Linked DNA regions of Schizosaccharomyces pombe. The protein of the gene in region 2 interacts with the protein of the main gene of each other region in a biochemical or structural test. Each region holds a gene or a part of one and is shown on either strand. Other genes may lie near its edges. The genes, in order: nda3 and klp2.

Region 1 (4,269 bases), on a different chromosome or scaffold from region 2:
GCTTTATTGTAATTTTTAAGAATGACAGCACGTAAATTACGATTAAACATTGTTTTGGTGCGATTGCAATGTAGTAAATAAAGTTCCTAATATACTTTTATATGAGTAAATTTCAATTTCGGCTTTTCGAAGCCACTCAATATTTCTCGTCGTTGACAAAGGCGAATTTAGAAAGTGGCGGATTGTTATACTGGTGGACGTTTATAAGTACTGGTATATCAAACGAGTTTACTTTCACAAAACGCAACATAAATACGATACGTAGCAGTAGGTGATAATTTAACTAAATTAATAGTTTATTGAATTTACAAATCTCACTGCATCTTTTGGTTCTACTTTTGGGAATTGACACTTAAGTATTAGACTTGCTTTATACATTTACTTTGTAATAGTCAAATATCTAAGCATATATTAGGGAATAGTAAATAGCTTTAATTCGTACGGTTTGGACTTACAAAAGTACTTTACAGACTTACTCGTGTTTATAGTACATTTCCACCTTGGTAGCCAGGCTAAAGCTATATTTAGAGTGTAAGGAGCATTTCAAAGCTATGAAAAAAAGTAAAGAGCGTTTAGCACAGACGATGCTTGGAATCCATATGCATCGGAGTAAAATAAAGCATTTCAATGAATGTAGGAAAAAAGGAACGTAGATAAACACTATTTGAAAATATATGGCACACTTGGATTATAAAAAGGGTTATAAGGGTTTAATACTCGAGAGGCTCCTTCTCTTCTTCAATTTCATAATCTTCATCACCCTCATCGATACCAGCCTCCTGGTATTGTTGATATTCGCTAACCAAGTCATTCATATTAGATTCAGCCTCAGTAAACTCCATTTCGTCCATGCCTTCACCAGTATACCAATGCAAAAAGGCTTTTCTTCTAAACATTGCAGAAAACTGATCACCCAAACGACGGAAAATTTCTTGGATAGAAGTACTGTTACCAATAAAAGTTGCAGACATCTTGAGATCCTTAGGAGGAACGGAACAAACAGCTTTGAGGACTATTTCGAGGTTAGCAGATGAGCATAAACAAGTAGAAAAAATAAACTAAATATACAAACGACGTTTTAAACCAAGTAAACATACCATTATCGGGAATCCACTCAACGAAATATGCTGAATTCTTAGTTTGAACAGAGCGAATTTGCTCGTCGACTTCTTTCATTGAGACTTTACCACGGAAAAGAGCGGCAACTGTTAAGTAACGGCCATGGCGAGGATCAGCGGCGACCATCATATTATTAGCATCAAACATTTGTTGAGTAAGCTCGGGCACAGAAACAGCTTGAAATGAGCTTGAACCGATGGCGGCAAGAGGAGCAAATCCTACCATGAAAAAGTGTAAACGAGGGAAGGGAACCATATTAACAGCTAATTTACGCAAGTCAGAGTTCAATTCACCAGGGAATCGGAAAGATGTGGTTACACCAGCCATTACAGCAGAGACAAGATGGTTCAAGTCATCGTATGAAGGACTCTTGATTTTCAACGTGTTAGCGAAAATTGAAGAAAGAGCCTCATTATCAATGCAAAATGTTTCGTCAGAGTTCTCTACCAATTGATGCATAGAAAGAGTAGCATTGTAAGGTTCCACAACGGTATCAGAGCTTTTAGGAGCAGGAGCAACGGAGAAGGTAGCCATCATACGGTCCGGATATTCCTCGCGAATCTTCGAAAGTAAAAGAGTACCCATACCAGATCCAGTACCACCACCCAAAGAGTGAGTTAATTGGAAACCTTGTAAAGCATCACATGCTTCAGCTTCACGGCGAACAACGTCCAAAACAGCATCGGCCAATTCAGCACCTTCAGTGTAATGGCCTTTAGCCCAAATATTTCCGGCACCAGATTGTCCATAAATAATATTGTCCGGGCGGAAAAGATTTCCAAACTTTCCTGACTTCACGGCATCCATAGTACCGGGCTCTAAATCAACAAGGACTGCGCGGGGAACATACTTTCCACCAGCGGCCTACAGTCGTCAGTACTAAATAAACAAAAAAAAATTTTTTCAAAAAGTTTTAAGCAACCGAACACTTGTAAGAAAGCAAAAAAACCTACCTCGTTAAAATAAACGTTCAATCGCTCGTGTTGTGCCTCAGAAGTTCCATGATATCTACGTAAAAGTCAGTAAAAAAACAAGCAAAATAGACCTACATTCCAGCTGAATCCAAACCATGCTCATCAGCAATGGTAGACCTTCCAAGCGTTAGTTGAGAGAAACGTTATAACAAAGTAGATTTTGCTTACCAAAAGGCCGCACCGACTTGGTTTCCGCATTGACCAGCTTGAATATGAACCTATTGATTAGCTTTGAATATTAAAATAGCTCGTACAATCTCACGCATCTAGACTAATTTATGGTGGTTTGTTTTGATGATCAGTTTGGTGGTAGGTGAGTTTCGTTAGGAGGAACGGATTGAGAATACCAAAAGTACCAAATCGTTTTTATACGTTTCAGAAATTCTAAAAACACAGTTTATTGCAGTTATTTACTAGTAGGCTTTTAAAAAAAATTTTTGTGTATTTATTAGCCGATTGTTAATTGAAAAGAATCAAGTCTTAAATCATTGCTTATTAAATAGTTTACTTCTTTTATATACAAGCTTTTTTTCTTTTCTTTGGTAATGTATGTAACTTTATTTATTCTTTAGTTTATATACATAATTATTAACTGCTAAACAGATTAATTTGATATTATGCCATATTCAGTAGTAGCGCAAAATAGTATGGTTAGAATTGTTTGTGTTTATCCTATCAATTGATATAAAAATGAAATGAAACTTATAACTGCACGTTAGTATCAATGTCATTTTCCGTACATATTCAATTGACTTTATTTAAGCCAGCATGCATTGATTTAATAATTTCCCGTATTAGCGAACCTATTACTTAAAACTTCTCCCATATCAAACATTACTTTTACAAGTAAATGTAAAACAACACATTCAAGAATACGGCATATATGCAAAAAAAATTATTTATATATTAATTCAAAAAGTAATAGCTAGTAACCATCAACACCTAAAGATTTTTAAAACCCGAAGAAAAACCGCAACCGAAAACCAAATCCCAAAATATAAGCTCTAAGCAACAATAGCTTTTTTCGTAAGTTGAAAACTCTCAAAAATCATTAAGGTCAAATTCTTTGGCCCACTCAGTAACGATTTGAGTATCCTGAACTTCAGATGAGTTCTTTTCGTTTATAACCTCAGGCTCGGCCCACCATTCGATACGACCAGCATGCCAGTCATTAATGACAATATTGGCAGCAGCGTTAAGATTTGGAATTCCACCGCGACCTAGACGACCACGCTTACGAGCAATATTGACTAAAAAATCAGTAGCAGTGTCTATATCGGATGTATTCAATAGAGGAGGAAGCTCATATCTTTGAAACATTCTTTCCAATTGTCCTGGAACTCTGCTAAGGAATTGCAAAATGTAAGAAGCAACGGCAACGGGATCATCAACTTTGGTGGATGAAACAGCATTAAGCATTACAAGACGATACAAATCGTCTTTAGAATCACTAGAAGGAAAAACAATACCAGGACTATCGACCAAACGTAATTTGTTATCTAGCTTCACCTCTCGCAAAGAAGTAGTCATTCCGGCAACGTTTCCGGCAGGACAAGGTGCAGAACGACCATTCGCAGAACGGTTGACAAGAGCGTTAATAACAGATGATTTACCAACGTTGGGGTATCCAATTACACCGACTGTAAGAGAGCTTTTAAGCTTCTTCTTGGCTGAGTAAGACTTGAGTGATTTAAGAAGATTGGAGATAGTGGAACTAGCAGAAGCCGACTGGTGCTTTAAATTTGAGTTTCCAGATCCTGAAGCGGAACGCATAGGAATCGTAGGAAAGAAATTGCGGAGATAGGTAACCCACTTGTTGAGTACTTCTGATGGTACTAAGTCAATTTTGTTGATAACGAAAATAAGACGCTTTTCTTCAGCAGAAGATGCTAAAACTTGACGTTCAACGTCTTTTGAACGAGTCCCTTCAGGATCACGAGCGTCAAGAACGTAAAGAATCACATCTGACGCTTCAACAACTTTTTTGAACTCCTTATCATATGCCTTTCTAGAGGTATCTGCCTTCACTGATGCCTCATAAGACTCGGAGTCAACTAATAAAGGGGCCTCTCCAAGGTTGTCTTCTTCCATCACAAACTCTTCCTCATCATCTGGGTTAGACGCTTGTGCAGCCTCAGCTATCTTTGAAATCATTAGGGATCCATTTTCATCAACA
Region 2 (5,625 bases):
ACGAGAACCTTCTTCGTGGCAATCGCTACCTCATCAAAAAAATTAAGTGGACTAACTAGTGCCCTCCCCTTACTGTTCGGTTAACATCGAATGCCAGAGAAAAATGGACAAGCGGGATGGTGCGATGGTGAAGGAAAAGGAAGCTCGAAGAAGGTTTGCAGTAATACGGTACTAAACCGTTTTAAGAAGCCTGTGGTTACATGATAAAAATGCTTAATGTTGCTCTCGTTATAATTCAGTATTTGATAAACAAATGGAAAAGAATTGGACTATTGGCAAGATATAGAAAAATGCCACCTCAGTATTTACTGAAAAGGGATAGAAGCATTCAAATGAAAGAGAAAAAAAGGAAATGTATTCAAGATTGGCAGTGGAAAATTTATGGAAATTCCTATAATCCCACTAAGTGGATTAAGTAGCAATTAAGAAACCGAAATTAGTACAATTATTAAAGAAAATAAAGTATAATCTGTTAATTTTAGCTTATTCTATATTTCTTGGGTCAATCTGAAGAACATTCCGAAAGGAATAAAATATACAGTGGGTAGTAGAATTTCTAATATTTTTATTATCAAGAGAGAATTAAAGGAACTGCCAAGTTTGAGAAAAAAAAAATAGCTAGTAATATTATATTTTTGGATACTTGATCTTTTCTCCTAAATGTAATTCATCTGTGAAATTTAATTGCTCACCTTTGCTTCATCCAAAAGTCACTTGGAACAATTTTTGTAGTCAGTTACTTTCTAAGATTAACTATACTTTTGAACATACTTTATGAGATATGACTTCATTTTGAGCGAATTATAAACCACCGTACTAAGTAAGTTGGAATGTCATTAGGGTCTAGTCATAAAAGAAAATATTTGCTCAATACTATTATAGAAAACATAAAATATAATGGTAAAATTTGAAAACATTCAAAGGAAAGAACACATATAACCTAAAGAGCGTATTCGAATATATAAAAAAAAAGAGTGAGTTGGAAATGAACGCTTACTTGTATGTATACGTCCATTAAAACGATAATAGTTCTGACTTGTGGTTCTTTATAGGCCCATAAAAATTATTTTCAAAGTATACAAAAGAGAGCAAACAGATCTGTATATTTTACAAAAACGGAAAAGACAGCTCTCCTTATAAACAACAATCCTCAAGCCATCCTGTTGGTGCTTTCCGTTCATTTTGTGACTTTGCGTGCTGTGCCAATTTGAGTATTATTTACCTTTGTTGCAAATCTCAAACTGCATAATGTTTCGGGAACATGCTGTTTTAGTGGGGAAATATTGACAAACATGAGAGTTTTACTATTTCCTCCCAACGAATATTGTAACAAATTAGTCAGCTTGGAATTTCGATACGGAATGTACGTTCCTTCCTTTCCACTTCCCAAAGCATGTATTACATCTCCTAAACAACTTAAACTTTTGTTGATTGCCTGCGTTTCCTTCAAACGTTCACCCACACTTTGGCTACTCGAAAGTCTTTCGGATCCAGCCAGATCAATCAAATTAAGCGTACTTCTGCATGTTTCACCTGTCGTAGAATTGCTTCCATTCAAGTGTAGCATAAAAACTGAATGCGATCTTGAGGAATGTTCATTAGCATTGGTAGCCGCAACAGAACGGTTCTTCGAAGCTTGATCTAACAACCAGGTTACCTGCTCAGGTGTGTCTAACGGTTCGCTGGTTATATTGGTAATAGTCGTCCTTCCGGCCTTCGTGTCATGATATATCTCCAGTTTTTTCTTTCCCTTCTCTTCTTCATTTCCGGAGGCTAAAAGGTCAATAATGGTTTCATTGTATATTTCTAGAAATTGTCCTTCCATCCGATATTCCCAACCTCGTTCTTTCAAAGAAGTAGAGCGATTGTATATCATTCTTACAGATGAAGGGATCATTCCTGTATTTGAAGACATCGTATGCGTCTTGCCTGAACCTGTTTGACCGTAAGCGAATATACAAACATTATATCCGTCCATAGCACTTTGAATTAACTGTGACAGTTCATTAAATACATCCTCATTAGTCGTTTCAGGGGAAAATACACGATCGAAATTAAAGGCATACTGTTTTATCCCGTTCCCTGTTAACGAAGACCCTGGGGCTTGAGCAACAATCTCTATAGTACTAGCTTCGGAATTTTGATCAGGAAAAGCTATTTGTGCTGATTCTCCATCGCCAAGGGGAGGTCGCACTCGACAAAAAACGCGTATGTTACCTTTAAGTTCTTGAATGGTATTATGGAGTTTTCTTCTCAGAGTTTCCTCAGCTATGAGTTTCTCAACTAAACCGTCTCTCTCAACATTGGCAGATTTTAAAATGCCTTCTAGTTCTATAATCTTATTTTTCATAGTATAAACATCTTCTTCAAGTGTTTTGATAGTGCTTTCTAAAGCCCGATTTGTAGATTCAAGCTTCTGAACGTTGGCACTTTGTTGGTCCAACGAAGATTTCAGATTTTCCTTAACAACTGTTTCAGAAGCAAGTTCTCTTTGTAATTGTTCAATCTGCTGTTTCAAAGAATTATTTTCTTCCTGAAGCGGTTGAATTGCAGATTGCAGTCTTTTTTTTTCTAGATCATGCTTATTTTGGACACGTTGCATAGCCAGCGAAGCGCCCTCCTGAACTTTCTTTAATAAAGAATCCTTTTCCTCTTGTAGTCTGGAAATTTTGAGTTCATTTTCTGAAGTAAGCTCTTTAATCTTGTGTGAAAAGTGTTCTTCGGCAGACTGCAATTCATTTTTGTACTCCATGATTAAACTATTTGCTTTTTGTTCAATATTGGAAGCAAAATCCTGTAATTCTGCTTGATGCTGAAGCTCAGCTGTCTCCATCACCCGAGCATGGTTCTCTTCCAACATGGCCATGCGCTGATGATTTTCACTTTTCATTGAGTTTAACATTATCTCCAAACTCTCCATACCCTTTTGAGAAACGATTTTATTAGCCTCCGCCTCAGCTTTTTCTCTCAGAGCCACTGAAAATTGTTCTTGTAACTCCGATGTACGACTCCTCTCGACTTCTAATGATTCTTCAAGCATAGCAATTCTCTGTTCGTAAAATTTGTAATTAGCTGGTCTTTTTGAGGGTGAAGGAATAACTTTAGCCGATAATTGAGCATAAGCCATTTCCATACTCCTCAACCGGTCTTCTGTAGTCCTTAAGGCGCTGGCATTAACAGACTTTTCATCATTATAAGATTCCATACTTTCATCTGACATACTTCTCACATCATCGCTACTATTTAAACTGGATGAAACAGCACTGGCAGGTCTACCAAAATGAGAAGAAGCAGACACTGACCGACTTGAAATGGGATGTGCAGACTTGGGCATCCTGGGATTAGAGGACGCGGTAAAAGGCCTGGCTTTTTTTGCAAGACTAGAAGATTTAACCGAGGCTAAGCTTCCTGGTGGTAACATCTTACTGGGAAATTTAGCAGGTTTCAGTTGGTTAACTTCATTTTGCAATGATAACCGAGGTTTCAGAATATTTGATGAAGATGAATTAGTTTTAATAGTCGGAGGAGGTATATTAGACGTAAATTCTTTAGCAATTTCTCGACTTTGCGACAAAGAACTCGAGGACTGAGGTAGATGCGACTATAAGGAAAAAAATTAATAAATTACACTTAAATTTGTTCTTACAGTTAAACTTTTATGTCCTTCTTCTTCCATACTTTCTCCTTTTCCCCAAAAACATGTGGGTATTGTAAGGTGTTAGAGAAGTTGAGTTTCATAAGCTTAAATCAAAAGTTCACTATTCAACAATTTGTATGGTGGTATTCCATGGACCACGAAGGTCAAAAGCAAATATCCGATATTATGTGAATCTTTAATTCAATTTAATGATTTAGTATTAATTAACACAGTAAAGTATTTTTAATTAGTAAAGGAATATTTGCCATTCGTACATCGAAAGAAATATTTTACTGTTTTACGTTTAAAGTATGAAGATATATTATGTTACGGTTAGAATAAATTCGAAAGTTAAATGTAATTGTTCTTCGTTTTGCTAAAACTTTCTAAATCTAGGAAAGAATGTAATCTATCTAACTAACGAAGGTCCAATCATCACCATCATGTGCACAAATATGTAGACAGTGATCATTCATACGTTTTATGCTTTATAATATTTTTCTCTCATCCCAGCCACAAGCTAAAGATCAGTAAAAAGCACATAAAGATTGAGAATAAGTTAATAAACCTGATAAATTAATAACAACAAATAAAGGAAAATTTTGTGAGCGTCTAAGGAGTTTTTTTTAATAATTTAGTGAAATTTTAATAGGCAGCAGCAACAGCCTGTTTTCGGCTATCACTTAAACCGTACAATGTGCCGTTGGTGCGGAAAACAGCTTGAATTTCACTGAAAGGATATTGAACGGGGATTAAATCCACTATATGACCAAACTTTTCTAAAGCTCTAAGAACTTCAATTTCAACAGTTTCATCGATATAGACGATATTAGGCATTAGCTGATGATGAAATCTAGGACTCTCAACAGATTCTAACAATGACTTGCCCCATTTATATTTTTTAATAATTGTGTCTAACACAGCTGTCACGATTCGGCTGCCACCGCTACCACCAAGAACCATTTCAACTTCACCATTATATACCAAAATCGTAGGCACCGCGGAGCTTTGTGGTCGCTTACCAGGGGCAATAAAGTTGTATGGCGATGGACTCAAACCGAAAGCATTCACTATTCCTGGAGAAGCAAAATCGTCCATGTGATCATTCAGTATAATACCCGTTTCAGGTTCCAAAAGTTGTGAACCAAACATCAAATTGATAGAAGCTGTGAGTCCGACTGCCATATTGTCTTTGTCGATAACGGAAAGATGAGTAGTGCCGTGATCGTTAGGGAAATCGTATTCGGCCTTGTAGTGAGTAAAATCAAAAGTCCTCTCGTTAGAAATATTATTGCGAATTTCATCAGCATATTCCAAAGAAAGTAACTGTTCAACATGATCTGTATTATTGTAAAAAGTTGGGTCTGCTAATACAGTCCGTCCAGCGGACATCCATTTCATTGTTTCAATTAGATGGTGCACGCCAATATCCGTCATTTCACAACCAAGGATAGAAGTACCTTCACTTAAATCTACTTTTGAAAGAACATTTAAACCTAAAATCAAAGCCTCTCCACTACAAGGGGATCCACAAGTAATAACCTCACGATCATAGAAGTTACCATAAATAGGTTCCTCCACAACAACTGAAAAATTGGCCATATCCTCCATGGTTAGTATACCTCCTTGCTGTTGAACAAACTTTACAAGCCTTTCTGCAATTTTTCCTGTGTAAAACACTTCAGGACCAAACTTAGCTATTTCTTCGAGGGTAGACGCTAGAGCAGGCCGATAAAACTTTTCTCCAACGTGTAAAAAAACACCTTCTGGAGCAAATATTTTAGACCAATCTGGATGAGTCTTGAAATAGGAAAACTCGGGTCGTCTGATGCGAGACGCAAGTTCCTTGGGCATTGGCATTCCATCTCTCATAAGACGTATGGTTGGTTCAAACAACTTATGCCAAGGTAGAGAGCCATACATTTTCCAAGCACGCTCGTAGCCAGCAATTTCACCAGGGACGGCAACGGAAAGACCACCTACCTGTG

The links.
Region 1: the proteins of klp2 (region 2) and nda3 form a complex in vitro, tested with the Schizosaccharomyces pombe proteins (one study listed by BioGRID).

What each region holds. Positions count from the first base shown.
Region 1 is NC_003423.3:3,963,566-3,967,834, forward strand, and holds nda3 (tubulin beta Nda3), read right to left. Parts: upstream 2,409-4,269; 5' UTR 2,360-2,408; coding exon 2,348-2,359; intron 2,312-2,347; coding exon 2,262-2,311; intron 2,211-2,261; coding exon 2,169-2,210; intron 2,128-2,168; coding exon 2,073-2,127; intron 1,984-2,072; coding exon 1,098-1,983; intron 1,013-1,097; coding exon 711-1,012; 3' UTR 527-710; downstream 1-526. Other genes in the region: protein Sdh8, read right to left, coding at 1-50; GTPase Grn1, read right to left, coding at 3,135-4,269. UniProt on the Schizosaccharomyces pombe protein: Tubulin is the major constituent of microtubules, a cylinder consisting of laterally associated linear protofilaments composed of alpha- and beta-tubulin heterodimers.
Region 2 is NC_003424.3:1,720,046-1,725,670, reverse strand, and holds klp2 (kinesin-14 family minus-end directed microtubule motor Klp2), read right to left. Parts: upstream 3,718-5,625; 5' UTR 3,677-3,717; coding exon 3,647-3,676; exon of another isoform or gene 3,602-3,646; coding exon 1,178-3,601; 3' UTR 769-1,177; downstream 1-768. Other genes in the region: gamma-glutamyltranspeptidase Ggt1, read right to left, coding at 4,283-5,625. UniProt on the Schizosaccharomyces pombe protein: Minus end-directed microtubule (MT) motor that is involved in spindle microtubule shortening, kinetochore capture, and polarization of cytoplasmic microtubules. During mitosis, promotes spindle microtubule shortening by depolymerization.